Linked DNA regions of Stegostoma tigrinum. The main gene of each other region encodes a partner of the protein of the gene in region 3 in a complex. Links are inferred from orthologs where the notes say so. Each region holds a gene or a part of one and is shown on either strand. Other genes may lie near its edges. The genes, in order: polr1h, rrn3, taf1a and tbp.

Region 1 (8,440 bases), on a different chromosome or scaffold from region 3:
AGTACTGAGGGAGTGTCGCACTGTCAGAGGGGCAGTACTGAGGGAGTGCCGCACTGTCGGAGGGTCAGTACTGAGGGAGTGTCGCACTGTCAGAGGGTCAGTACTGAGGGAGTGTCGCACTGTCAGAGGGCCAAAGCTGAGGGAGTGCCGCACTGTCGGAGGGTCAGTACTGAGGGAGTGCCGCACTGTCGGAGGGTCAGTACTGAGGGAGTGCCGCACTGTCGGAGGGTCAGTACTGAGGGAGTGCCGCACTGTCGGAGGGTCAGTACTGAGGGAGTGCCGCACTGTCGGAGGGTCAGTACTGAGGGAGTGCCGCACTGTCGGAGGGTCAGTACTGAGGGAGTGCCGCACTGTCGGAGGGTCAGTACTGAGGGAGTGCCGCACTGTCGGAGGGTCAGTACTGAGGGAGTGCCGCACTGTCGGAGGGTCAGTACTGAGGGAGTGCCGCACTTCGGAGGGTCAGTACTGAGGGAGTGCCGCACTGTCGGAGGGTCAGTACTGAGGGAGTGCCGCACTGTCAGAGGGTCAGTATAGAGGGAGTGCTGCACTGTCAGAGGGTCAGTACTGAAGGTGGACCGCGCTGCCAGAGGGTCAGTACTGAGGGAGTGCTGCACTGTCAGAGGGTCAGTACTGAGGGAGCGCCGCACTGTCAGAGGGTCAGTACTGAGGGAGTGTCGCACTGTCGGAGGGTCAGTACTGAGGGAGTGCCACACTGTCAGAGGGTCAGTACTGAGGGAGTGCTGCACTGTCAGAGGGTCTGTACTGAGGGAGTGCCGCACTGGCGGAGGGTCAGTACTGAGGGAGTGTCGCACTGTCAGAGGGTCAGTGCTGAGGGAGTGCTGCACTGTCAGAGGGTCAGTATTGAGGGAGTGCCGCACTGTCAGAGGGTCAGTACTGAGGGAGTGCCGCACTGTCAGAGGGTCAGTACTGAGGGAGTGCCGCACTGTCAGAGGATCAGTACTGAGGGAGTGCCGCACTGTCAGAGGGTCAGTATTGAGGGAGTGCCGCACTGTCAGAGGGTCAGTACTGAGGGAGTGCTGCACTGTCCGAGGGTCAGTACTGAGGGAGTGCTGCACTGTCAGAGGGACAGTACTGAGGGAGCGCCGCACTGTCCGAGGGTCAGTACTGAGGGAGTGCTGCACTGTCAGAGGGACAGTACTGAGGGAGTGTCGCACTGTCAGAGGGTCAGTGCTGAGGGAGTGCTGCACTGTCAGAGGGTCAGTATTGAGGGAGTGCCGCACTGTCAGAGGGTCAGTACTGAGGGAGTGCCGCACTGTCAGAGGGTCAGTACTGAGGGAGTGCCGCACTGTCAGAGGATCAGTACTGAGGGAGTGCCGCACTGTCAGAGGGTCAGTATTGAGGGAGTGCCGCACTGTCAGAGGGTCAGTACTGAGGGAGTGCTGCACTGTCCGAGGGTCAGTACTGAGGGAGTGCTGCACTGTCAGAAGGACAGTACTGAGGGAGTGCCGCACTGTCAGAGGGTCAGTACTGAGGGAGTGCCGCACTGTCAGAGGATCAGTACTGAGGGAGTGCCGCACTGTCAGAGGGTCAGTACTGAGGGAGTGCTGCACTGTCAGAGGGTCAGTACTGAGGGAGTGCTGCACTGTCAGAGGGTCAGTACTGAGGGAGTGCCGCACTGTCAGAGGGACAGTACTGAGGGAGTGCCGCACTGTCAGAGGGTCAGTACTGAGGGAGTGCCGCACTGTCAGAGGGTCAGTACTGAGGGAGTGTCACACTGTCAGAGGGTCAGTACTGAGGGAGTGCCGCACTGTCAGAGGGTCAGTACTGAGGGAGTGCCGCACTGTCAGAGGGTCAGTACTGAGGGAGTGCCGCACTGTCAGAGGGTCAGTACTGAGGGAGTGCCGCACTGTCAGAGGGTCAGTACTGAGGGAGTGCTGCACTGTCAGAGGGTCAGTACTGAGGGAGTGCCGCACTGTCAGAGGGTCAGTACTGAGGGAGTGCCGCACTGTCAGAGGGTCAGTACTGAGGGAGTGCCGCACTGTCAGAGGGTCAGTACTGAGGGAGTGCCGCACTGTCAGAGGGTCAGTACTGAGGGAGTGCCGCACTGTCAGAGGGTCAGTACTGAGGGAGTGCCGCACTGTCAGAGGGTCAGTACTGAGGGAGTGCCGCACTGTCAGAGGGTCAGTACTGAGGGAGTGCTGCACTGTCAGAGGGTCAGTACTGAGGGAGTGCCGCACTGTCAGAGGGTCAGTACTGAGGGAGTGCCACACTGTCAGAGGGTCAGTACTGAGGGAGTGCCGCACTGTCAGAGGGTCAGTACTGAGGGAGTGCTGCACTGTCAGAGGGTCAGTACTGAGGGAGTGCCGCACTGTCAGAGGGTCAGTACTGAGGGAGTGCCGCACTGTCAGAGGGTCAGTACTGAGGGAGTGCCGCACTGTCAGAGGGTCAGTACTGAGGGAGTGCCGCACTGTCAGAGGGTCAGTACTGAGGGAGTGCCGCACTGTCAGAGGGTCAGTACTGAGGGAGTGCTGCACTGTCAGAGGGTCAGTACTGAGGGAGTGCCGCACTGTCAGAGGGTCAGTACTGAGGGAGTGCTGCACTGTCCGAGGGTCAGTATTTAAATGGGATGTTAATCTTTTTGGGTGGATACAGAGGAGGTTTTTATGAAGATCACGGGGAGGGGAGTGGGGAGCACCCCGCACCCCCCGGATTTCCTGACCGACAATAATCTCCCTTCACAAAGACAAACAGTTTGCACAGAGATAGAAAGGACAGCAGCAGCAGGAGGCCATTCAGCCCATCGAGCGTGCTGCGCCATTCTTCCCGATGAGGACTGATTATCCGACACAACGGCATCAATCCTGGTTTCTCGCCCTAACTTTTACTGTTGGTTAGATCCCACTTATCCCCATTCGTCTGCGATCCTTCCAGAATCCAGAAAGTGCTTCCAAATGCTCTTAATTGCGAAAGGCGCTACACAAATGCAACCTTTTTTTCCTGTCTCCGACGACATCCATCCCATTTAAGACAAAATCGCACCGTTCGTCTCCGACCGCTACTGCCTGGCCCTGAAACTGTAAACGTGCCTCGACGTCCAGAATCACCTGCGGCCTAGCGCTCAGGCTCCCGGCTTGGAAACAGGAAACATCGCCCTCCGGCCGCATACGCGTAGGGGGGGGAGGCTACCGCCACCAGCAGCGCCTCCCGGCGGTGGGGAGGTACCGCCAACCCGGTCACGGCGACGATGAGGGGATGGCGCCTCCAGGGGCACCGCCTCCCGGTGGTGGGGATGTACCGCCAACCCGGTCACGGCGACGATGAGGGGATTGGACCTCCTGGGGCACCGCCTCCCTGCGGAGCCGGGGAACAGCCAGGCCGTTTATGGCGGCGGCGGGGGTTGGATCCTCCACGTTCAGCGCCTCCCGGCGGTGAGGAGGAAACCGCCAGCCCGGTTATGGCGGAGGTGGGTGTTTGAACCTCCAGGGGCAGCGCCTCCCCGTGTTGAGGAGGAAACCTCCAGCCCGGTTATGGCGGCGGCGTGAGTTGGAACCTCCCGGGACAGTGCCTCCCGGCGGTGGAGAGGAACCCTCCAGCCCGGTTGCTTGCTCGGGTCGGACCAGCCATCCTCCCACAACACAAACAGAAGGGAGGAACCTCCGCCGACAGCGCCGCCTGACGAAGTGGAGGGACATCTTCGCTCGATGGCGACGGCGCCGCCCCGTGGAGGGGAGGAACCTCTTCATCATGCACTGACTTGGTGTTTCGGGGGAGGGGGGCGGGGTTCAGGCAGCTCAGTTGGATCGCACTTGGCTCAGAATAACTGACCCTCACCATGGGTTCGATTCCCGCTTCAGCAGCATCCTTCAGCTGTACCTCCCGCCTTGCTTCTCCTGTATTCGATACAGAGAGGAGAAGGTTTCCCACTCACATTAGTGGGATATCGTGACAGGATCCTGCCAGAGGGACCCAGTGATAGGGTCCATCGGTGAGACACTGAATATAGACTGTCACAGGGACCCAGTGATAGGGTCCATCGGTGAGATACTGAATATCGACTGTCACAGGGACCCAGTGATAGGGTCCATCGGTGAGACACTGAATATAGACTGTCGCAGGGACCCAGTGATAGGGCCCATCGGTGAGACACTGAATATCGACTGTCACAGGGACCCAGTGATAGGGTCCATCGGTGAGATACTGAATATCGACTGTCACAGGGACCCAGTGATAGGGTCCATCGGTGAGATACTGAATATAGACTGTCGCAGGGACCCAGTGATAGGGTCCATCGGTGAGACACTGAATATAGACTGTCGCAGGGACCCAGTGATAGGGTCCATCGGTGAGACACTGAATATAGACTGTCACAGGGACCCAGTGATAGGGTCCATCGGTGAGATACTGAATATCGACTGTCACAGGGACCCAGTGATAGGGTCCATCGGTGAGATACTGAATATCGACTGTCACAGGGACCCAGTGATAGGGTCCATCGGTGAGATACTGAATATAGACTGTCGCAGGGACCCAGTGATAGGGTCCATCGGTGAGACACTGAATATAGACTGTCGCAGGGACCCAGTGATAGGGTCCATCGGTGAGACACTGAATATAGACTGTCACAGGGACCCAGTGATAGGGTCCATCGGTGAGACACTGAATATAGACTGTCGCAGGGACCCAGTGATAGGGTCCATCGGTGAGATACTGAATATAGACTGTCGCAGGGACCCAGTGATAGGGTCCATCGGTGAGATACTGAATATAGACTGTCGCAGGGACCCAGTGATAGGGTCCATCGGTGAGACACTGAATATAGACTGTCACAGGGACCCAGTGATAGGGTCCATCGGTGAGACACTGAATATCGACTGTCACAGGGACCCAGTGATAGGGTCCATCGGTGAGATACTGAATATAGACTGTCGCAGGGACCCAGTGATAGGGTCCATCGGTGAGACACTGAATATAGACTGTCACAGGGACCCAGTGATAGGGTCCATCGGTGAGACACTGAATATCGACTGTCACAGGGACCCAGTGATAGGGTCCATCGGTGAGACACTGAATATAGACTGTCGCAGGGACCCAGTGATAGGGTCTATCGGTGAGATACTGAATATAGACTGTCGCAGGGACCCAGTGATAGGGTCCATCGGTGAGACACTGAATATAGACTGTCACAGGGACCCAGTGATAGGGTCCATCGGTGAGATACTGAATATAGACTGTCGCAGGGACCCAGTGATAGGGTCCATCGGTGAGACACTGAATATAGACTGTCGCAGGGACCCAGTGATAGGGTCCATCGGTGAGACACTGAATATAGACTGTCGCAGGGACCCAGTGATAAGGTCCATCGGTGAGATACTGAATATAGACTGTCGCAGGGACCCAGTGATAGGGTCCATCGGTGAGATACTGAATATAGACTGTCGCAGGGACCCAGTGATAGGGTCCATCAGTGAGATTCCCCGAGTACAGTCGGCTGTGAGGGCCCTGTGACGAGGTCTACCTGTGAGACTCTGAATATAGATGGCTGTGACAAAGATCCCCAGTCCTGTCACAAAGATACTCTGACAAGAGGATGCCGTGGAAATTAAGGGACTGGAGCACTTGGCACCGCTATTTTACAGATTACAAATGCTGACAAACAAAAAAGCAAGAGCTCTGACAGAAAGACAAACTGTATTTCTTCTTGTATAAAAAAGTGCCAAAACTTTACTTGAAACAAGCGGCAGGTCCGGACTGCCGCAGACAGCTTGTGCTGTACAGACCTCATGCGTGCAATTCTGACAATGAGCCACTGCTCCTGAGTGTCCAGGCTCCTGCTACAGACAACACAAGTGGCTTCAGCGTCGAAATCATGAGTGTTGTCCTTCTTGGTTATTGATCCCGGTGCCTCAGATCCACCGTGGTCACGGCACTGCAATGGCAAAGGCAATCATGAACTGAGAGGCACCGCTCTCACCCAAACCTATCTCGCTGCTGGCCAAAACGCAGAGTAACATTCCTCCCGGGAACGGAACGGGGAGGGGGTGGGTAGTGGTTCCAATTCAATCTGAATTTGGCATCGAGGTGCCTGCACGATGCGAGGGGATTCAAGGCCTTCCCTCAGGCAGCACTTGCTCCATTTAATCCGACACAATCGCAGTGAATGCTGGTGATGGGCTGTCACCCTGCTGTGGAGAGTGGGTGCACAGCCAGCATGGCTCATGCCCCTGGCATGGCAGGTCTGATACGCACCCAGGACCCTCAGCCGAGCTCCTCCCGGGTCTTGCCCACTTTCTTGGGCATCTTCTTGCTGGCCGCATCCTGCAGCTCCTTCGATTTGTAATAATGCGGGGCCACCTCCAACAGCCAGTTGCTGTCGATCTCAATCACCTGAGAGACAGACAGACAGAGAGATTGAGGGGTGCTGCATGGAGTCTTAAGGTCACCACGGCTCAGCTGATGGATGGGACACTCTGGAAGCCATCATGTGGATGGCTAAAGACAGAGGAGTAGAGCTGACAGTCCGAACAGAAAAAGCAGCACAGATCAGAATATAGGAAACACGGTTTGCAGATTACTCCAGAAGTGGTGGTTTTGGACTGTGAAAGTTATCCAAGATTACAGAGAGATCTTGATCAATTGGGCCAGTGGGCTGGGAAATGGCAGAAGGAGTTTAATTTGAACGAATGCGAGATATTGCATTTTAGTAAAATAAACAAGGGCAAGATTTAACCAGTTAATGGTAGGGCCTTGGATAGTGTTGTCGAGCAGAGACACCTTGGAGTTCAGGGGCATAATTTTCTGAAAGTTGCGTCACATGTGGACAGGGTGATTGATAAGGCATTCACAGCTTGCTTGCCTTCACTGTGCAGACCACTGAGTATAGGATTTGGGATAACATATTGATGTTGTACAGGATGTTGGTGAGGTCAGTTTTGGAACAACGTGTCCAGTTCTGGTCGCCCTGTTATAAGGAAGGATATTATTAAGCTGGAGAGGGTTCAGGAAATGTTTATAAGGATGTTACCGGAACTGGAAGGTTTAAGTTGTAAGGAGAGGGTGGATGGGCTGGGACTTCTATCATGAACATAGGAGGTTGAGGGGTGAGCTCAGAGAGGTTTACAAAATCATGAGTGACATAGATAAGGTGAAGAGCAAAGGTCTTTTCCCTAGGGTGGGATATTTTTCAATACTAGGGGGCATATTTTTAAGGTGAGAGGAGAAAATTTTAAAAGGGACATGTGGGATAATCTTTTCACACAGAGGGTGGTTCCAGGAAGTGGTAGAAGCAGGTACAGTTACAGCATTTAAAAGATGCTGGACAGATACATGATTAGTTAAAGGTTTAAGAGCAATATGGGCCAAACGCAGGCAACAGGTACTGGTTTAGTTTGGGGAAACTTATCGGTAAGAACTGGTTGGACTGAAGGGTCTGTTTTGGTGCTGTCTGACTGAGTGTTGGTGCAGTGCCAGGCTCTATCATTAGGTGGCGCATTGTCCACAGTTGACAAGCACTCGGTATTGGTGAGAGAGTCAGGAAAGTCACAGGCTCATGCCCCACTCTATGGACTCGGTCATACAATCCTGGTTGACAATCTCTTCCAAGAGTAATGGTTGCCGCTGTAGGTCCCCCCTTTTACTGGGAGTTGCCTCCAGGGAATGTGTCTCACTGAAGTGTACGAGCGTGATTCTCCCACATGGGGAAACCCAAAACAAGGGGACGCAGTCTCGATACATGGGGCCAATCGTCTTTTTTTTAAGGACAGAGGCGACAAGAAGTGACTTCATTCAAAGGACTGTGAATATTTGGAATTCGCTATCCCACAGGGCAATGGACACTTCATCACTGAATCCATTTGAGGCTGGAATCATGGGAATTTTTGATCGATCAGGGAGTTAAAGGATATGGGAGGCATCGACGCTCCCACTGAACGATAATGCAGGTCAAAGGTGGCCCACAGTCACTCCTATTTCTTTAGAGCTCTGGTATAAAAAGTTCCACGTGGCCACAAACCTGAAGAAGGGGAGTTTTCCTGCATCATAGAATTCCTACAGTGTGGATGCAGGCCACTCGGCCCACCAAGTCCACATTGACCCTCTGAACAGCATCACACTCGGACCCAAATCACCTGTATTTCCCATGGTTAATCCAACTAGCCTGCACATCCCTGAACACTATGGGCAATTTAGCATAGCTCAGCCCACCCTATCGTGCACATCTCTGGACTGTGGGAGGAAACCCACGTAGAAACGGGGACAACATGCAAACTCCACACAGGCAGTTGCCTGAGCGTGGAATCGAACCCAGGTCCCTGGCACTGTGAGGCAGCAGTCCTAACCACTGAGCCGCCATGACTGCCCTTCAGTCACATCTTCTTGAATAAAAAAATCACAAACCGTCTACACAGCTGCTTGGGCTCAATGGCCTCGTTTCATGTCGGAGGAGCCTAACAGACAGGGGTAAGATAAGGCCATTCAGCGCCTC
Region 2 (7,463 bases), on a different chromosome or scaffold from region 3:
GAGACGGGGGGCGGGGGGGGGTGGAGGGGAGGGGGAGAGGGAGACGGGGGGCGGGGGGGGTGGAGGGAGAGGGGGCGGGGGGGGTGGAGGGGAGGGGGAGAGGGGGGCGGGGGAGGGGGCGGGGGGGGTGGAGGGGAGAGGGGCGGGGGGGGTGGAGGGGAGAGGGGGCGGGGGGGGTGGAGGGGAGAGGGGGCGGGGGGGTGGAGGGGAGGGGGAGAGGGGGGCGGGGGGCGTGGAGGGGAGGGGGGCGGGGGGGGTGGAGGGGAGGGGGAGGCGGGACGGGGGGCGGGGGGGGTGGAGGGGAGGGGAGAGGGGGGCGGGGGAGGTGGAGGGGAGAGGGAGACGGGGGGCGTGGAGGGGAGGGGGAGACGGGGGGCGTGGAGGGGAGGGGGAGACGGGGGGCGTGGAGGGAGGGGGAGACGGGGGGGGCGGAGGGGAGGGGGAGAGGGAGACGGGGGGCGGAGGGGAGGGGGAGACGGGGGAGGGCGACGAAAGGGAGGGGGAGGGGGAGGGTGAGACGGGGGAGGGGGAGAGGGAGACGGGGGGGTGGAGGGGAGGGGGAGACGGCGGGGAGGGCGACGGAAGGGAGGGGGAGGTTGAGACGTGGGGGGTGGAGGGGAGGGGGAGACGGGGGGGAGGGCGACGGGAGGGGGAGAGGGAGACGGGGGTGGGGTGGAGGGGAGGGGGAGAGGGAGACGGGGGGCGGGGGGCGGGGGGGGAGGGGGAGGGGGGTGGAGGGGAGGGGGGCGGGGGGGTGGAGGGGAGGGGGGAGAGGGAGACGGGGGCGGGGGGGGTGGAGGGGCGGGGGAGAGGGAGACGGGGGGCGGGGGGGGTGGAGGGGCGGGGGAGAGGGAGACGGGGGGCGGGGGGGGTGGAGGGGCGGGGGAGAGGGAGACGGGGGGCGGGGGGGGTGGAGAGGGAGACGGGGGGCGGAGGGGGGTGGAGAGGGAGACGGGGGGCGGGGGGGGTGGAGGGGAGGGGGAGAGGGAGACGGGGGGCGGGGGGGGGTGGAGGGGAGGGGGAGAGGGAGACGGGGGGCGGGGGGGGGTGGAGGGGAGGGAGAGAGGGAGACGGGGGGTGGAGGGGTGGAGGGGAGGGGGAGAGGGAGACGGGGGCGGGGGGGGGTGGAGGGGAGGGGGAGAGGGAGACGGGGGGCGGGGGGGGGTGGAGGGGAGGGGGAGAGGGAGACGGGGGGCGGGGGGGGGTGGAGGGGAGGGGGAGAGGGAGACGGGGGGCGGGGGGGGTGGAGGGGAGAGGGGGGGGTGGAGGGGAGGGGGAGAGGGGGGCGGGGGGCGTGGAGGGGAGGGGGGCGGGGGGGGGGTGGAGGGGAGGGGGAGGCGGGACGGGGGGCGGGGGGGGTGGAGGGGAGGGGGAGAGGGGGGCGGGGGAGGTGGAGGGGAGAGGGAGACGGGGGCGTGGAGGGGAGGGGGAGACGGGGGGCGTGGAGGGGAGGGGGAGACGGGGGGGGGTGGAGGGGAGGGGGAGAGGGAGACGGGGGGCGGAGGGGGAGACGGGGGGGAGGGCGACGAAAGGGAGGGGGAGGGTGAGACGGGGGAGGGGGAGAGGGAGACGGGGGGGTGGAGGGGAGGGGGAGACGGCGGGGAGGGCGACGGAAGGGAGGGGGAGGTTGAGACGTGGGGGGTGGAGGGGAGGGGGAGACGGGGGGGAGGGCGACGGGAGGGGGAGAGGGAGACGGGGGTTGGAGGGAGGGGGAGACGGGGGGGGAGGGCGACGGAAGGGAGGGGGAGGGTGAGACGGGGGGGTGGAGGGGAGAGGGAGGGGAGACGGAGGGCAGGGCGACGGAAGGGAGGGGGAGGGGGAGAGGGAGATGGGGGCGGTGGAGGGGAGGGGGAGACGTGGGGGGGGGGAGGGTGAGACGTGGAGGGGGAGGGGGGGGAGGGTGAGACGTGGAGGGGGGGAGGGTGAGACGTGGAGGGGAGGGGGAGACGTGACGGGGGGGGAGGGGTGACGGAGGGGAGGGGGAGGGGTCACGGAGGGGAGGGGGAGACGTGACGGGGGGGGAGGGGAGGGGGAGACGTGACGGGGGGGAGGGGTGACGGAGGGGAGGGGGAGGGGAGACGTGACGGGGGGTGAGGGGTGACGGAGGGGAGGGGAGGGGTGACGGAGGGGAGGGGGAGGGGTGACGGGGGGGAGGGGGAGACGTGACGGAGGGGGAGACGTGACGGGGGGGGAGAGGGGGACGTGACGGGGGGGAGAGGGGACGTGACGGGGGGGGGAGAGGGGGACGTGACGGGGGGGGGAGAGGGGGACGTGACGGTGGGGGAGAGGGGGACGTGACGGTGGGGGAGAGGGGGACGTGACGGTGGGGGAAAGGGGACGTGACGGGGGGGAGAGGGGGACGTGACGGGGGTGGAGGGGTGACGGGGGGGAGAGGGGGGGGTGACGGGGGTGGAGGGGTGACGGGGGGGAGAGGGGGACGTGACGGGGGTGGAGGGGTGACGGGGGGGAGAGGGGGACGTGACGGGGGTGGAGGGGTGACGGAGGGGAGGGGGAGACGTGACAGGGGGACGTGACGGGGGGAGGGGGAGACGTGACGGGGGGAGAGGGGGACGTGACGGGGGGGGAGGGGTGACGGAGGGGGTCGTGACAGGGGGGAGGGGTGATGGAGGCGAGTGGGAGCCTGATGGCGGGGGGTCGGGGTTCTAAAGGGAAGACGGATATCGGGGTGGTGGAGGTAATGAGATGGTGGCCGCGGGTAGGAGATGTAGCGGGGGGGGGGTGGAAAGGGAAGAGGGATGCCGGGGTGGGGGGGGAGGAGATGTTGGTGGAGGAGGGGGTGGTTGGGGGGGGAGGAGCTTGTGGGATTGAGCGGTAGACAGGGGAGGGAACAGGGATGGAGATGGAGGGTAGGGGAAAGGGAAGGGAGGGGCGGAGACAGAGGGTTGAGGAGGAGGGCTGATGGAGGGAAGGAGATGGACTGCGAAGTGACGTCACAATGGGTAGTGGACGGGAGTGGAGGAGGACATGGGGTATACAAGTAGAGATGAGGGGATGGGGAGATAGTGAGATTGTGGGGGTTGGTGGGGAGAAGGTGGTCCTAGTCTCAGAAGGTGGCAAAGAAGTCCCACGCAGCCTAACAGTCGAAGATAAATTTTGGGGAAGGATGCTATGTCAAATTCACCAAAAAGGTTGAGAAGAATGAGTGTGGAAGGGCACCTTTGTCAGTCAAGGGATGAAATTTGTGATTTTGGTTGGAGCTGTTTCAGACTTGTTCCAGAGTTTGAATACCTGACAAGAAAGTTGCCAGTATGAAAGTAATCAAAAATAGTAACAAGTGTGGTGAGGTCAGATCCCGTTCTGAAATGTGACTTAATCATAATTCGCTTTTTATTTAATAAGGTGGTTTATCATTGAAACATAAGCAGGCAAAGCTGATCAAATTTTAAAAATTAAACAAGTTTACTATGCAAAATAAAAGATAAAATTTTACATCCAACTTTAAAGATTTCAAAACAGAAAAGAACACTATTTCATCTCAAACACCAGAGAGAATTCCTGTCTCAATCACATCTATGGGTTTGACTTAATTATTGCTTTCAATTCCTGGTCTTGATCATCTGATAGCTTCTTCCTTGAGTAATCACGCAGAGCTTAGATTTCCTTAGTTTCAGGGTCTGCCAAATACCTCCGATCCTATTTTTCTAACTGAAACGCTTACGCTAAGGTAACTTATTTCCTAACTTTTCCGAACTAATTCCTTTCTCCCAGAGAAACCGTTTCATACATCTGCCTTCATTCAGGATTTCTGCGAACAGAAACCAAAAGCTTCCAAGTGTTGGTGTTTTTGCCTAAGCCAATACAAAAAGCTCCTGACTCTTCTAACAGAAAGCATGCTGATGCTCTTCAGTGTGTACTCTACCGCTGGTCACACTTTCCCAATGCAAACAAATTTGCCTGAACACTTCAGGATGTCTGTCTCTTATGCTAGTTTTTTTTGAAAAAAGCATGACTTCAGAAATGCTGACAAGTTAATCACTAAGGCATGTAAACACACAGACCAAAATCCATTAGTTCAAGATCCAAACTCAAATAATAATAACATCTCACACCTTACGTCACAGAGGGTGATTACATGTATGTTGAGAGAGAATGGCACGTGACAGGAAGCTAAGTTTAGAGGGATAGTATTAACGATGTGGGAGCAACAGGCGGGGATTGAATTTGTGAATTGGCAGGTCCTGATAGAAGCAGAAAGAGTGGGATCAAGATAGAAGAGAAGACCTGGAGGTGCTGGACTTTGGAATGGATTTTGTTAAGGGAGACTTGGCAGAAGGATCAAGGGTGGATTCTTTTGAAGACAGTACGATAACTGATTTAAAAGAGATTACAGAGGGATACATTTACAATGTATAAATAATTCTTCCTATGTTCCTGAAGGCTTCCATTTGACAATGTTGGGAGAAAGTGAGTTCTTCAGTTCCCCACCAAGGAAAGCTGTCAGATTTGGTGGAACGGTTACAGAAATCTTAAAGAAATATAAACAGGTAAAATAAGTTAAACAGGTAAATGTGTAAGAAATTTTCTCACCTTTCTGTAAATTTGATTCAAAAGAGTTTTTTCCCCCTAGGGAGATACTGTGGATTATGATTTGCTGATGACACAACTGGATGATCCAGAAATAAAGGTAATCAACAAATTGTTTAACATGCATCTCATTTGTGCAGCGTTTTCCTGTTATACATATGGAACTTTACAGTTTTAACAATTTGCATTTAATCTGTTAGGTTTGTACTCTGTAATAACATAGCATTTTTAATTTTATGAATATGGTGGATCTGTTTCTCTATATGTACCTACTCCAGATTAGCATGTGCAAGGATTATTCCAATTAGTGTTGGATGAAAGGGGTAGTGTGAGTCTAGATGTTAGGCATAATCTTGACTCTGGAATGAAACAGTGTGAAACCTGAGTTTAGCACAAATTTGAAGTGTAAATGTACACTAGATCAGTCTGTCCCAATGCTAACTGAAATAAATTTTGAGCAGAGGTAATGTGAACTGCAGATGCTGGAGAATCCAAGATAACAAAGTGTGAAGCTGGATGAACACAGCAGGCCCAGCAGCATCTCAAGAGCACAAAAGCTGACGTTTCGGGCCCAGACCCGAAACGTCAGCTTTTGTGCTGCTGAGATGCTGCTTGGCCTGCTGTGTTCATCCAGCTTCACACTTCGTTATCTTAAATTTTGAGCTGCTTTCATCTAGCTTAGCTAGGACCCCAGGGCAACAACATTGACTCACTCGCAATTAGCTGATGCACAACACATGTCTTCAAACTTATTTGTGAAAATTTCCCGGAAATGCTGGCATTCTCACACCACCACACTTCAACTGCTGTCTTGGTCCCAAAGGCCGTGAATCCTTGCCTCCAAAAGGCAATATCATCCACCTAAATTAATGTATGTAATACAAATATAACAGCAGACACATTAGGAAAAGCTCCATGATCTTCTGATGCTATTTGCTCACCACCAATCCATGTTTGGGCAAACAATGACTAAATATAAAATGACTGTTTTAAATTCTCTCATAAAGTAATGTTAATGATTAGGAATGGGAATGATGGACTCAGTGAATAGTGCCCCTGCTTCTCAGCTAGAAGCTACAGGTTCAGGCCACTCCAAGACTTGTTGGTCACAGGAATGTTCGTGATATGAAGGAAGTACATCCACAGTGTGGTTGAACAGGTTGTTGATCAGCCTGGTAATCCTTCTAACACTTCTTCACAATTCTGAAAAATGGGGGGGAAAAAGTCAGTGTCTGAAACAAGCAAACAGACTTTTCAAAAATTCTTCAGCCTTTTGGTGAAATTATACACTGAGGTAATTTTCACTGATCGAGTTACGAACTCCTGGCCTAAAACAGTTTTTCATGTTAATTATAATATCGAATCTAAGTGTGTGAACGGAGATTTAATATGATAACCAGCATCAGCATTGTTACTTAAAATCAATGTTTTGGTCATTTGAAGAAAAATCTGGTCAAAATTTAATTTTGATAGGATTGAAACCTTTCATCATTTAACTGATTCTGTTTCCTTGTAAATTTGTTCTATAGTACGAAGTTTTTGTTTGTATTAAGTTACTTATTTTCTTTTTACTGTATTTCTGTTGTTTCCACACTCATGTTTGAGATGCAGCTTTGTGGATTCACGTTCCACTTAATCTAGATTGTTTCTCCATTGCAGTACTGATGGAGAGCTGCACTGTCAGAGGTGTAACTATTTGGATGAAATGTTAAACCAAGGCTAAGGCAACTTTCTAAGGCGGACATAAACAAATCCAGAACCCAGTTTTGAAGAAGAATTGGGGTTATCCTTGGTGCAAAGACAGAAATTGCTGGAGAATTTCAGCAGCATCTGTAGAGAGAAAAGCGGAGTTAACATTTTGAGTTCAATAACTTTTAAACAGTCCTGTTGTATAAATGCAAATCTGCTTGTCTCTCTTTTCTTAATTTTCTTAACAGAAGTTTTTCTGATTTAGTGTTAAACTGTGGCCCTGTCTGCCTGCTCTGATGATTCAGGAAGAAAGATTCCATGGCAATACTTAGAGTCATGAAGGCTTACAGCATGGAAACAGGCCCTTTGGCCCAATTTGTCCGTGCTGCCCAGTTTACACAATTAATCTAATTCCATTTGCCTGTGTTTGGTCCATATCCCTTCAAACCTATCCTATCCGTGTAATGTTCAAATATTTCTTAAATGACATAACTGTACTCGACTCCATCACTACCTCTAGCAGCCTGTTCCATACACTCATCATACTGTGGGTGAAACAAAATTTGCCCTCTGGACCCATTTATATCTCTCCGTGTCACCTTTTGCCCTCTAGTTTTAGATTCCCTACCACATTTTATTGACCTCCATAAGGTCATTCCTCAGTCTGCAACGCTCCAGGGAAATAAAAACCCAATCTGTCCCACCTCTCTTTGTAACTCAAACCAAGTCCAGACACATCCAGGTAAATCCAGAAAATTCCCCTGGGATCCTGCACACATTTTCTCCCTTGACCACTGCCATCAACAAGGAGATTAGTTGATCCAACTTTATTTGTTTATTTTGCAGTGCACATTGGCGGTGCCATTCATCTACTAAGAGTGACTGCATTTCAAAGCAGTTCTTTATTCTTAGCATGTCATAATGTTTTAACTAAATAGAGTTCACTTAAACTTCAAGGTGTAATAATTATATTGAAGTGCTTATTTCTTTTCTCCCCCAGGATGCTCAAATAATCAACTGGCTTCAGGAATTTCGTGATGCTGTCGCACAATTAACAAAGGATTTTGAACACGTTGTTAGCAAAATACTGGTTAGCTTCTTTGAATTTTTATACACATGAAGATTGGTCAGAAAATGTTTGCTATGTTTTATTGTTGAATAACTCTTATCAATGGGTTTGATTTTTCTTAAATCTGCCATTTTTATATTGACACATGGCAAGTTACAGA
Region 3 (7,978 bases):
GCTGTGCCGGGCAGGAAGATCGCTGAGAGCCTCGCGCTCATCAGGGATACAATCGCCTACGTCCAGGACAGGCGGGTGGACACCTGCCTCGTCAGCCTGGACCAGGAGAAGGCCTTCGACAGGGTCTCTCATGCTTACATGAGGGACGTCCTCTCCAATTTGGGGTTCGGGGAGGGCATCCGCAATTGGATCCGGCTGCTCTACACCAACATTGTTAGCGCAGTCTCGATCAACGGGTGGAAATCGGACAGTTTTCCCGTCAGATCTGGAGTCAGGCAGGGCTGACCGCTCTCTCCTGCCTTGTTCCTGTGCTGTATGGAGCCCTTCGCCGCATCCATCAGGAAGGACGTGAGCCTGAAGGGCGTGACTATCCCAGGCAGCGGAGGCCTTCAGGTCAAGACCTCCCTGTACATGGACGACGTCGCCGTCTTCTGCACCGATCGTCGGTCAGTGAGTAGGCTATTGGACATCTGCGGCCAGTTTGAACTGGCCTCGAGTGTCAAAGTCAATCGGCGTAAGAGCGAGGGCATGTTCTTCGGGAACTGGGGCGACCGCTCCTTCATCCCCTTCACCGTCAGGACAGACTACCTGAAGGTGCTGGGTGTTTGGTTTGGCGGAGCTGGGGCGTGCACTAAGACTTGGGAGGAGCGTATCACGAAGCTGGGCAGGTGGGCGCTCCGGTCCCTCTCCATCACTGGTAAGAACCTGGTTGTCAGGTGCGAGGGGCTTTCGGTACTGTTGTATGTGGCGCAGGCCTGGCCTATTCCCTGGACCTGCGCCGCTGCGGTCACCCGGGCCATCTTCCACTTCATTTGGGGGTCGAGGATGGACCGGGTCCGTAGGGACACCATGTACAAAGACCTGGAAAACGGGGGAAAGGACGTACCAAACGCCACCCTCGCCCTGATGGCTACCTTTGTCTGCGGCTGCATCAAGCTGTGCGCAGATCCTTAGTACGCAAACACCAAGTGTCACTACTTACTGAGGTTCTACCTGTCCCCGGTGTTGCGAAGGATGGGCCTGGCCTCGTTGCCGCGGAACGCTCCCAGTAGTTGGACCGTTCCGTACCACCTGTCCTTCGTGGAGAAATTTTTGAAAGGAAACACCTTTGACCACAAGGCCGTCAGGCAGTGGTCAGCACGTAGTATCCTCGAGACTCTTCGGGAAAAGGAGAGGATGGATCCCGTCGTGTGGTTCCCCACGCAGACTGCCAAAGTCATTTGGCAGAATGCCTCATCGCCAGAACTTTCAAACAAGCACAAGGACATTGCTTGGCTGGTGGTGAGAGGGGCTCTGCCAGTGAGATCCTTTATGCATGCCTGGAATCTCTGCGCCACTGCACGCTGCCCTCAAGATGGCTGCGGGGCGGACGAGACTGTTGATCACCTCCTTCTGGAGTGTGCCTATGCGCAGGAGGTCTGGAGGGGGATGCAGTGGTATTTGCCGAGGTTCGTCCCGAGCAGCTCCGTGACACGGGACTCCGTGCTCTACGGGCTGTTTCCCGGGACGCACACCGAGACCAACATCATCTGCACCTGGAGGACCATCAATACGGTGAAAGACGCTCTTTGGTCTGCCCTCAACTTGGTCTGCCAGCTGAAAGAACTGGCCCCGACCGAATGTTGCAGACTGGCGCACTCCAAGGTCCAAGACTACGTGCTGAAGGACGCACTAAAGCTTGAGGCAGCCGCCGCCGCCAATGCGCGGTGGGGAAAGACCACGGTGTGAAACCCCTCGTCCTGAATAGAAAAAGGAACCCTATCTGGTAACTGGGCCCAGCTGGCGCTTTCCCCAACTGGTCAGGGGGCCAACTGGGACTGTGCGGGGTGACGACTGCCGGGGTATTTTCTTTGCTTTGTTTTTTGTTTCTTCTTTGTTTGTTTTTTTCCTTTAGTTGGTGTACGTACCCCCTGGGTAACCCGGAGCGGCTTGCATGACTGGGTAGGTGTATAAGTGTTTTATTTTTTGTACATCTTATGAATAAAGTATATTTTTTCAAATAAAAAAAAGTGACGAAACGTCTGAAAATTAACCTTCCAGCTCAGTGAGCAAACTCACATCCAGAACCTCAACCTGAGCTATAAATCTTCTCAAAACTCGCTTTTACTTAAGTCCCCAGTTTATCTGTCTTGCAGACTCAGATTAACAGAAAACACACAGTCGGTTTCTCCACTTAACAAGAAATACTATATAATCACAAATGGATTGATTCCAGCAACAGATAAACAAATATGAACCACAGGCTAGCACTACTAGCTAAACTTTTAACCCCCTTCAAAAAGCACCAAAACAAATATGAAACAAAAAAGTATCATCAGTGGAATGAAGAAAACTTGTGGCAATCAGTTCAAAGCATCAGTCCCTAGGATTTGATGCATTGTTAACTTTGTTTCCAAAAGCCTTTAGTTCTCTGAATTTTTCCTTCAGGTTCTTCTACTTTGCAAGAGACACAGAGCGGCTTGTTCATAATTAAAAAATCTCTGACTTATTGCTGTAATGCAACAGCTTACAGCAACTGACAGGATAACGCAATCAACTTTATTTGGCTTCAAGTACTTTCACAGGAAAGAGAGAGAGAGGCCTTCTAGCCTACAGGCAACCAGTGCTCCACAAGACTCATTTTATCAGAGATGGCTGGCAATGATGCAATTAGGGGAGGTGAGATAAATATATGAAGTAGTACAGGGATGAATAAATTAGAAGTGAAGAAAGACTATAAGGTGATGGGAGTATAAACAAATGCAATTTCCTGTTTTTTTTGCATCTAATGACCTTTTAGTGATGGTATTAATACGCAAAAAAATTAAACCCCTTCTACAACTAACTACTTTCTAGACAACTTGAAATACTGAACTCTACGGCTGAATACCACCATCATTTCTTCGCTATTTCGGTTTTAGTTTTTTTTAAAACGAAAGCATAAAAATCACGAAGTTTTCAAAAGCTAAACAAATACTAAGTTTTTTTTCAAGAACTTCCAATGAAGGTCTCCACGCACCTTCTGATCACTTTTCCCCTCCTCTGATTAAGCAGTTATAACACCAAAAGATTTTCCTCAGTAGTGACCAAACGTTCAGCACAATCTCCTCCACATCATTTACCCCGTTGCCTGGGCACGCTCAGGATTCTGTTCCCCATCCGGGCAACGTTCCATTCCCAGGGTAACGTTCCAATCATAGGAAAAGGACAGTTTTACTTCCCACGTGCTGACAATCTAAAACTCCTTCCGGGGTCATGTTGAACATCTGCTGCATTTTCTCTGAAGGCAGCCATCCGCATTCGGGAGTATCGATTTTGTCCATTGAGTAACAGGGGGTAGTGACTTGGAAGTATTTATTCGTGATCTGGGATAAAGCTCAGTAAAAATATTTTCAGAATAACAACCGGTACATAGTCACCGCTTTAATGTATTTAACATTTACAGTTATCGTGATGTGTTCAAATTCCATTCAAACAAACATTTTACCATCAAACAAACATGACGATTATGCATAGTGGGTTTTTTTTTGGAATTTACTGCTTATCTAGTTGAACTTGTAGAAATAAACCAATGTTTATTTTCAAGAATAAAAGGCGATTCAAGATCAAACCAATAAGACTTGGCAGGTAAAGACGTGTTAAACCACTTGCACAGACAACGTGAAACAAAATACTGAACTCTACGACTGAATATAATCCAAAGCGTGCAACAACTCAGTCGGACTGGCAACATTTTAGAAGACGAAAGGTGCTTAACCTGATGAGTATTTCTGTGAGTTTTTACAGCACTTTGCAGATTTCCAGCATCCGCAATGTTCTGCTTTTAAGTGCGGTATGTCACGTAAGGCAAGAAATTCCGCAGTCTTCAGACTTACCACGTACCTCCATATCATTATCACCAGAACACATCTTTGTCTGCTTGCCTGTTCTGGCAGCTTCTCTTTCGTTGAGAACCTCAGTTATTGCAACTTTTTCACTGAAAATCTTCCTGTCTTCGTGCCTGCCTTAGCCCTCACACCATGTTTTCCACTGAAATGTGCTCACTGCTTTGTTGCCAGCGAGTGTTGTCAGTTATAGCCGCAAAGATTGGGATAAATTCAGAATCCAGCAAAGGAGGACTAAAAATATAATAAAGACAGTGAAAGTAAACCATGAGAGCAAACTAGCTAGCAATATTTTCAGTATGTGTGTTTCCAAACAAACTCTTGTTCAACCAAAGAAACAGGATTCAATTTTCCCTCTGCTGAAATTTTGGCAAAGATTAAGTTTGCTCAGGGAAAGAATGATGTCTACACTGTCAACTTGAATGACACAAAATATTCTACCAACTTCCATTGAAGACTGAGCTCCCCAAAATATTTAAAGCATGACTCCTTCTTGCAAGCCACAGTTCCACTTTCATCCTCTATGTCATTTCCAAAGTCCTTGAATTGCTTGTGAGCTCGTGTTTCTGAGACCATTTTTTGTGACTTGATGATCAATAATCTCTAGTAGCTCCTTAAGCAGGATTTTCCCCCAGCTGCAGCACTGAAATGGACGTTATCAAAGTGACATAGAACATAGAACAGGACAGCACATTACAGGCTGTTCAGCCCACGATGTTGTGCCGACCTGTTGTCCTACTAAGACCAATCTACCTTATATACCCTACATTCTACTATCTTCCATGTGCCTATCTAAGAGTCGCTTAAAAGCCTCTAAAGTATCTGACTCCACTACCACTGCTGGCAGCACATTCCACATGCCCACCACGCTGTGGGGAGAATCTACGTCTGGCATCTCCCCATACCTTCCTTCAATCACCTTAAAATTATGCCCCCTCGTAATAGTCATTTCTGCCCTGGGGAATGGTCTCTGACTATCCACTCTATCTATCCTCATCATCTTGTACACCTCTACCAAGTCACCTCATCTTTCTTCATTCCAATAAAAAAAGCCCTAGCTCCCTCAACGTGTGGCATTACCATCTTCATCATTCTCCACCTATCTGCAACTTCTAACATGTTTGGCCCTACCATCCCCCTCTAACATCTCAGCTTTGTTATGTGTCTGAGTAAGACTGCCCTTACCTGAATCCACTTGTATCTATCCAGTAACAACCAGATAATTTCCTGCATCTACAACAGCTTCTTTGGAGAATTCTTCCCATTTCTCGTTTCCACACTTCCCCTCTCCCCCACCCAACCATGCAGTAAAGTAAAACATAGTGCCCACAGCAGGTAGACAATGTGATTTCAGACACCAGTGTCAGGTAGTCAGCACTGAAGGCAACTGGGCTTGTAAATCGGAGCCCAGACCACCATTTTTAAGTGTGCAATTGACACGAATATGAGCATTTTAAGGACCCAAATGTTGGGAACTTTCACTGCCCACTGCATTACTTGGACAGCAAAAGGTTTGGGCATGTTTTAAAGCAGTTTTGAAGGTCAAAGGAAAATCAGCCAATGAGATCATGGCTGTGTGGAACAGCAGATTCTGCTGGTGAAGTTGGCAATGTTGACATGTTTTTTGACACCAATTCATCGACTTCTTTTAAGCCTTCCATAACAAATAAAGAAAGATTGATAGAACAGCAATCTTTAAGTTTGTAGTCATCTCTAACTTACTTTCCACTTTCTCGTAATTTTTCAGCCACATGGTGACCCCGCTCGACACTCGATTGGATGCAGAGCACCTCCTTTGGCATTTTAATCAAGCCATTGAATTTGGAGTACAGAAAAGAATGCACCCAATTTAGAGTGGGTAAGCACAACTAATGTATGAAAAGCTTGGTTTGGCGCGAAGTTATAATATACCAGCACAATGCAGTAGTGATCTCATAAGTTAAATGGACACAGATGTGCTGACTGGCCCCTAATAAGACGCCAGCAATGGGAAAAGACAAAAGCACAATTGAGCTGGAGGTATTCACTGATGACAGCATCAACAACTCTGTGGTTGAGAGTAAAAGTGCGAGTTAGTTGGTGTATTGACTTGTTACCCATCAACCTGAACTTCATAAGTCTGAACAGTAAAGGTACAGATTTGAATTATTTTGAGAATTGCAAAAAGTAAGAAATAACTAAAATGTAAAATGTTTATCTCCTTCTGTTATATCATTTCATTTAAAGAGTGTCGGGTGATAGATACAGAATAGATGTCAGTTCCTGGTTAATCACAATCATACACAGTTTCCACATGACAGTTTATCATTATTAATAACAACTTTTTCTGTGTTTAAATTAAGTTGTTTCGTTGATAACTTGAAAGCACTTGCAAATGCTCACCTGTAACGTCACTGTAAAAAAATTCATAACACTCAAAAGAAACAACATGTATAATTCCCTAAAATAGAGATAAGCCATTATATTGTGGGACACGATTCAAGTAGGCTGTAATGAAATGTGCGTCAATATTGGAGTATGTCACAGCAATCTGTGACATTTGCAAAATTCAACACGTACTCATAGGTGGGATTTGTTTTCAACTATCAGATGCTTGCACTGTTCCAAATGACTTCCCTGGTACGCAAAGAGAAAATATTTGCTCAAAGCAGAAGTTCTCATCAGTGCCATTTAGGCATGAGGTCACTATTGCATTGTGCTGTTATGTTAGAGCTTCTGGCTAAAAAAATCTTCTCATGCATCAATTATTCCTGTTAATTCTAAATTGGGTACATTTTTTTTTCTGAATTGCAAAGTCCATGGCTTGTTTAAGATCCAGAAACTGAATTTATTTAGAGGGAAAAGAAAGCGTAGTTGAAACAGCTTGCTTTAGTTTCAGGAAAACAGTAATGTCCCTTTAATGGAAGGATCTTTGAAAGCGGTAAAATTAAACTTTCTGGCAAAGTACATGAGGTTATATAAAATGAAGCTATATTACAGTTAAATCCTATTCAATACATCTTGGCCTTGTCAAGAAATGCGGAATCACAGTTTGATTACGAGAGTGACAAGGGCAGCAACTGATGACATGTTGATGCCTTCAGTGCACAGCACACAAATTTACAACAAAAAAAAACAGAAATTGGTGGAGAAACAGTAGGGAGTTCTGGTTTCTGTGCTCGGTAACCCTGGCAGAACTCTCAGGTAGTCTGGGTCATCCACCAGGTATTTGGTTCTAACATAGGACTTGTTTGTGAAGGTGGAGTGATAAACCAGGAGGCAGGTGTTTCAGGGCAAAGAATCTCTGTAGTTATTAAAATATAAAGGTGTGTATCTCACGAAATAAAAAAGGCAAAAGTAATAAACAAGAAAATAAAACAAAGGTGAATAAATTACAACAGATTTTTAAAAACTATGAAACTGACACTATCAGTTATTAACTTTTAACAAGGACCAATTATTATTATAAACGAAACAGTATTTTAAGCACAGATACTGCAATCAGACTTCCTGGCCTTGAGATGCCCTGAACTGTCACCAACCCACATTTCCCTCCCTGCTAGGCAATAGTTAGAACTGCAGATGCTGGAGTCAGAGATAACACAGCGTGGAGCTGGATGAACACAGCAGGCCAGGCAGCATCAGGGGAGCAGGAAAGTTGAGGTTTCGGGTCGGGACCCTTCTTCAGAAATGGTGGAGGTGGGGGTGAAGGGAGCTCAGAAATAAATGGGCACAGAAGGGGTAGGGCTGGGGAAAATAGGTGGGATGGTGATAGGTGAATGGAGGCAGGGAGTGTTCCACATTCCGCATTAGCCCCACCACACCCAGCACCTTTCCCTGCAACCGCAGGGTGTACTACACCTGCCCCTACATTTCATCCCTCACCTTCATTCAAGACACCAAACAAACCTTCCACATTACACAGGGGTTCACCTGCACATCCGTCAATGTGATCGACTGCATCCACTGCTCTCAATGTGGCCTCCTCTACATCGGTGAGACCAAGTGGAGGCTCAGAGACTGCTTTGTAGAACATCTGCTGTGTTCACAACAAATGACAACACCTTCCAGTCATGAGCCACATCAACTTCCCTTCCCACTCCCTGGGCGACATGTCCATCCTGGGCCTCTTCCAG
Region 4 (7,932 bases), on a different chromosome or scaffold from region 3:
AAGGACCGCAACATTCCCCCCCGCAGTGGTCGAGAACGCCCTTGACCGCGTCTCCCGCATTTCCCGCAACACATCCCTCACACCCTGCCCCTGCCACAACCGCCCCAAGAGGATCCCCCTCGTTCTCACACACCTCCCCAACCTCCGGATACAACGCATCATCCCCCGACACTTTCGCCGTCTACAATCCGACCCCACCACCCAAGACATCTCTATGTCTGCTTCTTGATCATTAGGCCAACTGGGTGTTTGAAGAAGTCCACAATTGACTTTTGAGGTACTGACAAGAGTTTTTCGTGACAGCAATAGTCCCTCACAGCTACAGCGAAGGTTTTACAAGGATATACAAGCTGAAGAGGAAGACCTGATTCCCATATTTCTGGAGCTGGTAAAGTTGTTCAATTATATTATTCTTCTGGATCTCAGTTAAATTGACAGGCAGCTGAAGAACTGCCAAGCAAAAGTATTGAGGGATAGAAACATCCAGATGAAGGTCAGGAGGCTTAATAGTGACAAAACTCAATTACCTTTCTTTGAAATGCAGAACACTTCAACCAGATCGTGGGACATTAGTCTTCCAAGCAAGTGACTACTATCAAGGAGGTGACTTAGCTCAAGCAGATGTAAATCACAGGCTGAAGAGGCAGGGGAACAGATTTCTGCACAGCAAGTATAGATTCAGCTCTTATCCTGCTTCCACTGTATGCATTGTGGCTGATCCTGCCCCAGGGTGTTGGATGCTCCAAAGGGGTTGTGAAAATGTGACAGGACTGGGCATTTCAAATGAGTCTAAACAAAAAGAGGCACCACTGCTGTTAAGACAGGGAACCCATCCAGAGCAACAGCCTATGATTCTCAAAAGATGTTAAAAACTGGTTGGGCCTTCCATCAAGAGCCAGGCGAGCAAATGGGGGCAAGGTTCCTTCAGGAATCTTATGTAGAAATACCACAGACATGCTCTACAGTGAGAAATTTGGCAAGATAGAAGTGCTGTGCCTAACTGACACAGGAATGGTGATGTCAAATGTTGATCACGAACTTTTCTGTGACCATCTTGCTGAGAAATGTTGCTATCTCTTCTTTCATCCAGGTGTCTACTTCACACGAGTCCGACAATCTCTATCAAGCTCTCCCTACCTGCCCTCAATCTCTCGTTTCATAGCTTGGATATTCTGGTAGTTCATGACCTGATCAATACTCGTGTGGAAATAAGGAAATTGAGCATGTCCATGGTCAAATATGTTAAAAACTTTCCAGGTATTTTTGGAAAGCATGTGACTGCAATGAGTAGATTAAAGTTAGCAGACGGGGCGCAGGATTCTTCAACTCTGCTTTGCACACTTAAGATGTAATAGCCTGTACAGGACCACAGAAGGTTGTAGTATAGGGGATTGGGTTGTCCTACCTACTTGCACCATCGCTGTTCTTGAATTGTCAGACTAGCATCTCCAACTGGTGAACATCAGGCCATTGATTACAGTTTTACAAAGACTCCTTTATGCCACACAATCTAATACTTCTTTGATGTCAGGGACACCACCTCACCTCTGTAATTCAGCTCCTTTGTTCGTATTTGGACCAAGACTGCAATGAGGCCTGGAAATCCATAATCCTGGCAGAAGCCAAGCAGAGAATCTGTGAGCTAGTTTTGACTAAATAGATGCTACCTGTTAATATGATTTTTAATCCTTCTTTCATTCACTTTGCTGATGATAGAAAGCTTGCTGATTGGGCAGTAACTGGCTGGATTGATTTTCACCTTTTTTTGTGAACAGGACATACTTTGCTCAAGCAATGTTTCAAATTGTTGAGCGGATGGCTGCATCACAGCTATACCAGAGCTTAGCTAAAATTAGTTTTGCAGCAGAAATTAGTACTGCAGCCATGAACAGACTCCACATCCAGTATGCTCAGTTGTTTCTTGATACTATGTACAAATTAGGCCACTCAGCATGCTCTGCCATTCAAGGCAAAACTTATGTCCTCCCAAAGGAAATATCATTAGTTTTCCATTAGCTAACCTCTGTTAGGAGGTGATGGCATAGTGGCAATTTCGCGAGTCATGATATATAAATGGTCACTAATATTTTGAGGACATGTGTTCAAATCCCATTATGGCAGATGAATGAAATTTGAATTCAATAAAAAGCTAGCTTGACAGCAAGAAATGAAGCTGCCGCTGATTGCTGTAAAAATCCATCTGATTCACTCATGCCCTTTTGGGAAGGAAAACTATCATTATCTGACCCAGCCTACATGTGATTTCAGACCATGAGACTGACTCTTAACTGCCATCTGGGCAATTAGGGATACAAAACAAATGCTGGACTAGCCAGCAACACCTACATCCTAGGAATGATTGCATGATAAGCAGCACAAATCAACATAGATTGGGTGCATTGCGAACATACTTCCAATACTAATTGCAAAACAATGGATTCAAATAGTAGAGTAGTTGTGTAGTTTAAGCTTGACTCGGTAGTTTGCAATCATTTCTGAATCAGAAGTTATGGGTCCCAATCCCACTCGAATTTTAACATACAAATCATGCTGATGCTTCACTGCAATACAGAAGAACTACTATTCACCTGTAGATGGAAAGGGATATCCCAACAATGAGAAGAGGTAACATATAAGTACAAGCTGATTCTTATAAACCTGTGACTATATGAATACTTATTCACAAACCTTGCCTGCAGATATTGTGTTCTAGCAACTGCCACTTCAAATGGGCTAAACTTGCCACAGGCCAACAGGAACTCAGGGCTGCTTTAGCTTAAAAGAGAAAGTCAGAAGTCACATGACACGGGGTTATAGATTAGATTAGATTCCCTACAGTATGGAAACAGGCCCTTCGGCCCAACAGGTCCACACCGCCCCTTGAAGCATCCCACCCAGACCCATCCCCCTATAACCCGCACACCCCTGAACACTACAGGCAATTTAGCATGGCCAATCCACCTACCTTGCACATCTTTTGGATTGTGGGAGGAAACCGGAGCACCCGGAGGAAACCCACGCAGACATGGGGAGAATGTGCAAACTCCACACAGACAGTTACCTGAGACTGGAATTGAACCCGGGTCCCTGGCGCTGTGAGGCTGTTATAGTCCAACAGGTTTTTACAAAATCACAAGCTTTCAGATTGCTGCTCCTTTGTCAGGCAAAGTGCCAATTACAGTCAAAGTTTTACAGTCAGAAAGAGACCATTTGGCCTACACGCCTGTCATCATCCACCTATCTACTGAAGGCCCATTTCCCAGCAGTTGGTCATTCATGTTTTAAGTGTTCATCCCAACATTTCTTAAATGTTGTCAGGGTTCCTGCTTCTACCACCCTTTCTAGCAGCAAGTTAGATACCCTCCACCTATTAATGTACCTTATAATTTTGGACACTACAATCAGATCTCTCTTCAGCCTTCTCAGCTCTAAGGGAAACAACCCTAAACCGATTTCTCTTCGTAGCTGAAATGTTGTAGGCTGGGCAACGTTCTGGTGCATCTCCTTTGCACTCTCTCTGGTGCAATCACGTCCTCCCCATAGTGTGGCAGCCAGTAATGCACACTATACTCCTGCGGCCTAGCTTCATATACTGTTCCATCATAACTTCTGTTCTTAAATATTCAATGCCTTGACAAATAAAAGCAAGTATCCCATATACCTCTTTAAACACCTTATCCACTGGCTCTGCTGTTTCAACAATCAGTGGACATTCCAAGCTGTACTTCCCTTACTTTGTTAGTCCTTCCAGATAAATCATCTCACATTTAGCCAGATTGAATTCTATTTGTCACTGATATCCTTCAACAGCCTCGGCTTTCCTCTTTGCTACTTACTGCACCAATTCCTGAAGGATGCCCTTTAGGGAAGGAAACTGCCATCATTACCTGGTCTGGCCACAGCAACGTCACTGACTCTGGGCAATAAATGCTGCCTAGCCAGCGACGCCCTCAACCCGTGAATGAATAAAGATATATAAAATTATATAGATAACACAGTGTGGGGCTGGAGGAATACAGCAGGGCAGGCAGCATCAGAGGAACATGAAAGCTGACGTTTCGGGTGGGGACCCTTCTTCACAAATGTGTTATCTCAGACCCCAGCATCGGCAGTTCTTACTATCTCTATGAAATTATGTACCCGTGTCCAAACTCCGCACTCCCCCGGCGATTACCGAGAGCGTCCATCCTAGGCGTTCACCACTTGCCACATTAACTCAACGACAAACAGATTCACGAATACGGATCGAATAACTCTCTTGCCTCGTCGGTCAAACATATTATTAACAAAAAAAGTGCTGAAATGAAACAAAAAAACTTTGCTGTAAATGCCTAGATGTTACTCCCCCACAGAGAATAAATCTGTACTGTAAAACTAGGAGACCTTACTGAAACCCCGGAAGGAGATTCGATGAAAAAAAAGCTTTCGCATTCATCGAAGCCCCTCAGATGCTGCGAGTTTAAAGGAAAGAAATCCTCTTCCAAACGGTCTCATCCCAGGTCCATTCAATAACGGTTAGGCTTGGTGAAACATCCTCCCCCCACCCCGGTAACCAAAAGCAGCCTCTTCCCGCCTCCTCGCGAGCGAGAATAGGTCACGTGATTGTGCGCGCTCCCACGCAGTGGCGGCTGGGAATGGCTGGCCCACGGTTCCAAGCACCAGCTGGAAGTGACGGGGTTGCCGGGTGATCGAGCGCGAGCAGCAGGGGACATTGAGTTTCTTGGTGAGTCAGTGGCCGATGGAGAGGGACAATGTCTCCTCAAAACAGCTCTTACAGTTTCCAGGCTGGGGAATCTGAGGACAGCTGTTGTCGTTGCCTGTGCTATAGCTTGGGCCTGTACCGGCTGTTGCGTGCAGTCCCCCGGTGTTCAGATGGATTACGAAAGAGTCTGGTTGAACGTGGGGGTTGTTGGAGACTGGAGGAATCGACTGGTCCCGCCGGGGTTGATGGTGTTCTCAAGAGAGCTGTGTGTAAACAAATGGTGCATGTTTGTATTTATCGCTCCCTCTCGACCTCTGTCCTATTCTTTCCCACCATCTCTCTCACCACTTTCCCACAACCCCGTTCCCACCCCCCACCATCTCCAGGCCACCCAATTTTCCATCTCCTTTTTCACCAACCTCGGTGATATCATCCATTTTAGACTCTGTTTCCCTCCTCTTTATTTCATTTTCTTGTACCCATTGCAGCTTCCCTGTTGATGCTCTCCTCAATGACATTCTATTTGGCATCCGCTATCTCAGCCACCTGCTCCTTTGGGACCCTCCCTCTAACAGAGGGTGGCACGGTGGCTCACTGGTTAACACTGCAGCCTCACAGCGCCAGGGACCTGGGTTCAATTCCAGCCTTGGGCGACTGTCTGTGTGGGGTTTGCACGTTCTCCGTGTCTGCGTGGGTTTCCTCCGGGCACTCCGGTTTCCTCCCACAGTCCAAAGATATGCAGGCTAGGTGGATCGGCCATGCTAAAATTGCCCGTAGTGTTCGGGGTGTGTGAGTTATACAGGGAGGGATCTGGGTGGGATGCTTCAAGGGGTGGTGTGGACTTGTTGGGCTGAAGGGCCTGTTTCGATGCTGTAGGGAATCTAATCTCACCAATCCCTCACTCTTGACATCCCCACTCCTCATTGACATCCACTGCCTCTCACCACCAACCCACCTTTCTGATACCAACTGCCTCACCTTAGCTTCTATGGTACCCACTGGCCCATTCTACTTGATGTCACCTTGGCACCCAACATCTTGTAACCATTATTGTTTATTTTGTAAAGCTATGATAGTGAGTAGAGTGGAGTTTTTTATTATATGTTTTATTGAGATTGGTCTCTAGATTAAACTGTAATAATATAAAACATAGGTACTAAGTTAGCCTTGAGCAGTTTTTTTAAGGGCAGTTAAGAATGTGTGCTATTTTCTGGGTCTGTGGATAGTCAAGATGCAAAGATGGCCTTTGGAAGACATGGTCTTCCTGTCAGATGTGGGAGATTAGGGAGTGTTTCCATGTAACTGATGACTTTGTTTGCAGAAAGTGTGCCTGGTTGTGAATCCTGTTGGATCGCATGGATTAGTTGGAGTGGCAGTTAGAGGCAATGAGGAACTAACGGAAGCTAAGGAATATGATAGATGGCAGCTTGTAAGAAGGGAGAAAAACCACAGAAACAGTCAGGTACATGGGTTACCCACCAGGAAAGATAGGAAGTGAGGCATGACGTCCTGGAGTCTTCTGTGGCTATCCCCATCTCAAATAAGTATGCTGTTTTAGAAAATGTAGGGGGTGATGGATTCACAGGGGAATGTGGCGTGGACAGCCAGGTTTCTGGTACAGAGGTTGGCTTTAATGTAAGGAGGAGTACACCAGGTTCCAAGCAAAGTAATAGGGAACTGTGTAGTCAGAAGCACAGATGGAAATTTGTGGCCAACAGTGAGAAATCTGAATGCTGTGTTGCCTCCCTGGTGCAGGAATCAAGGATATCTTGGAGAATGTGCAGAATGTTCTCAAAGGGGAGAGAGGACAGCAGGAGGTTCCTGTACACGTGAGAACTAACAACATAAGGGGAAAGAATGAGATTCTGAGGAGAGTATATAAGATATTAGGCAGCAACTTGAAAAGGAGGTCCTTGAGGGTAATATCTGGATTACTGCTGGTACCACTGGCTAGTGAGCGTACAGGAAGATGGAGCAGATGAATCCATGGCTGAGGATCTGGCACGGGGTGAAGGATTGACATTTTTGGATCATTTAAATGTCTTCTAGGGTGGAAATGACCAGATTAAGAAGGGTGGATTGCACCTGGATTGGAAGGGGTTAATATACTGGCGTGGGATTTACTAGAGCTGCTTGGGAGCATTTATACTAGTGGAGGGAGGGAAGAGGCAGGAGCAATGTAGAGAATGAGGTAGGACTGATAAATTAAACAGCATTTATTTCAATGCAAGAGCCCTAATAGGTAAGGCAGATGAACTCCATGCGAACGTGGGACTGAGATATAGCTATTACAGAGACGTGGCTTGGGACTGGACACGATTACTAACTTAATGTTCCAGGGTATAGATGATATAGGAAGGGATAGAAGGGTGATGCAAGAGAGGAGGGGGAGTGGAGTTTTTGATTAGGAATAATATTTACAGCTGTACTTAGGGAGAATATTCCTGGGAGTCCATGCAGGGAAGCTAGTGGGTGGGACTGAGAAATAAGAAAGAGATGATCACCTTATTGGTATTGTACTATAAACCCCAATAGTCAGCGGGAAATTGAGAAACAAATTTGTAAGGAGATCTCCGTTATCTGTAAGAATAATGGGGTGGTTATGGTAGGGGATTTTAACTTTCCAAGCATAGATTGGGACTGCTGTGGTGTTAAAGGCTTGGATGAAGAGGAATTTCTTAAGTGTATACATGAAGATTTTCTGGTGCAGTATGTGGATGGACCTGCTCTTGGGAAATAAGGTAGGACTAGTTACTAAGATTTCAGTGGTGGAGCACTTTAGGCCACTGACATTATTCCGTTTAGTTTTAAAATAGTGATGGAATAGGATAGACCGGCTTTAAAAGTTAAAGGTCAAAATTGACCTTCCTCCAATTTAGAAGGTATGAGGCAAGACTCCCAAAAGTTGACTGGGGTGTTTGCAGGTCAAGGGATGGCTGGAAAATAGGAAGCCTTCAAAAATGTGATAACAAGAGTCCCGGGACAGTATGACTAGAGAAATTGAGGTTTTGGTCAGGAAAAAGAAGGAAGCATATATAGCAGAGATTGAGTGAATGAGAGATAACAAGGTGTAGAGCTGGATGAACACAGCAGGCCAGGCAGCATCAGAGGAGCAGGAAAGCTGACATTTTGGGTCTGGACCCCTTCTGAAGAAGGGTCCAGACCCGAAACACCTGCCTTCCTGCTCCTTTGATGCTGCCTGGCCTGCTGTGTTCATCCAACTCCACACC

The links.
Region 1: taf1a (region 3) and polr1h share a complex: the UniProt entries of both Homo sapiens proteins name them as parts of the pol I pre-initiation complex. The link is inferred for Stegostoma tigrinum from reciprocal best matches to the Homo sapiens genes TAF1A and POLR1H.
Region 2: taf1a (region 3) and rrn3 share a complex: the UniProt entries of both Homo sapiens proteins name them as parts of the pol I pre-initiation complex. The link is inferred for Stegostoma tigrinum from reciprocal best matches to the Homo sapiens genes TAF1A and RRN3.
Region 4: taf1a (region 3) and tbp share a complex: the UniProt entries of both Homo sapiens proteins name them as parts of the transcription factor SL1/TIF-IB complex. The link is inferred for Stegostoma tigrinum from reciprocal best matches to the Homo sapiens genes TAF1A and TBP.

What each region holds. Positions count from the first base shown.
Region 1 is NC_081387.1:14,298,277-14,306,716, forward strand, and holds the start of polr1h (DNA-directed RNA polymerase I subunit RPA12), read right to left. Parts: upstream 3,061-8,440; 5' UTR 2,979-3,060; coding exon 2,950-2,978; intron 1-2,949. Other genes in the region: pre-mRNA-splicing factor ATP-dependent RNA helicase DHX16, read right to left, coding at 6,217-6,345. UniProt on the Homo sapiens protein: Core component of RNA polymerase I (Pol I), a DNA-dependent RNA polymerase which synthesizes ribosomal RNA precursors using the four ribonucleoside triphosphates as substrates. Can mediate Pol I proofreading of the nascent RNA transcript.
Region 2 is NC_081376.1:51,353,003-51,360,465, forward strand, and holds the start of rrn3 (RNA polymerase I-specific transcription initiation factor RRN3), read left to right. Parts: upstream 1-4,403; 5' UTR 4,404-4,412; coding exon 4,413-4,505; intron 4,506-4,588; coding exon 4,589-4,645; intron 4,646-7,234; coding exon 7,235-7,324; intron 7,325-7,463. UniProt on the Homo sapiens protein: Required for efficient transcription initiation by RNA polymerase I (Pol I). Required for the formation of the competent pre-initiation complex (PIC).
Region 3 is NC_081362.1:52,737,665-52,745,642, reverse strand, and holds the start of taf1a (TATA box-binding protein-associated factor RNA polymerase I subunit A), read right to left. Parts: upstream 3,191-7,978; 5' UTR 2,999-3,190; intron 1-2,998. UniProt on the Homo sapiens protein: Component of the transcription factor SL1/TIF-IB complex, which is involved in the assembly of the PIC (pre-initiation complex) during RNA polymerase I-dependent transcription.
Region 4 is NC_081357.1:94,276,601-94,284,532, forward strand, and holds the start of tbp (TATA-box-binding protein), read left to right. Parts: upstream 1-4,611; 5' UTR 4,612-4,723; intron 4,724-7,932. UniProt on the Homo sapiens protein: The TFIID basal transcription factor complex plays a major role in the initiation of RNA polymerase II (Pol II)-dependent transcription.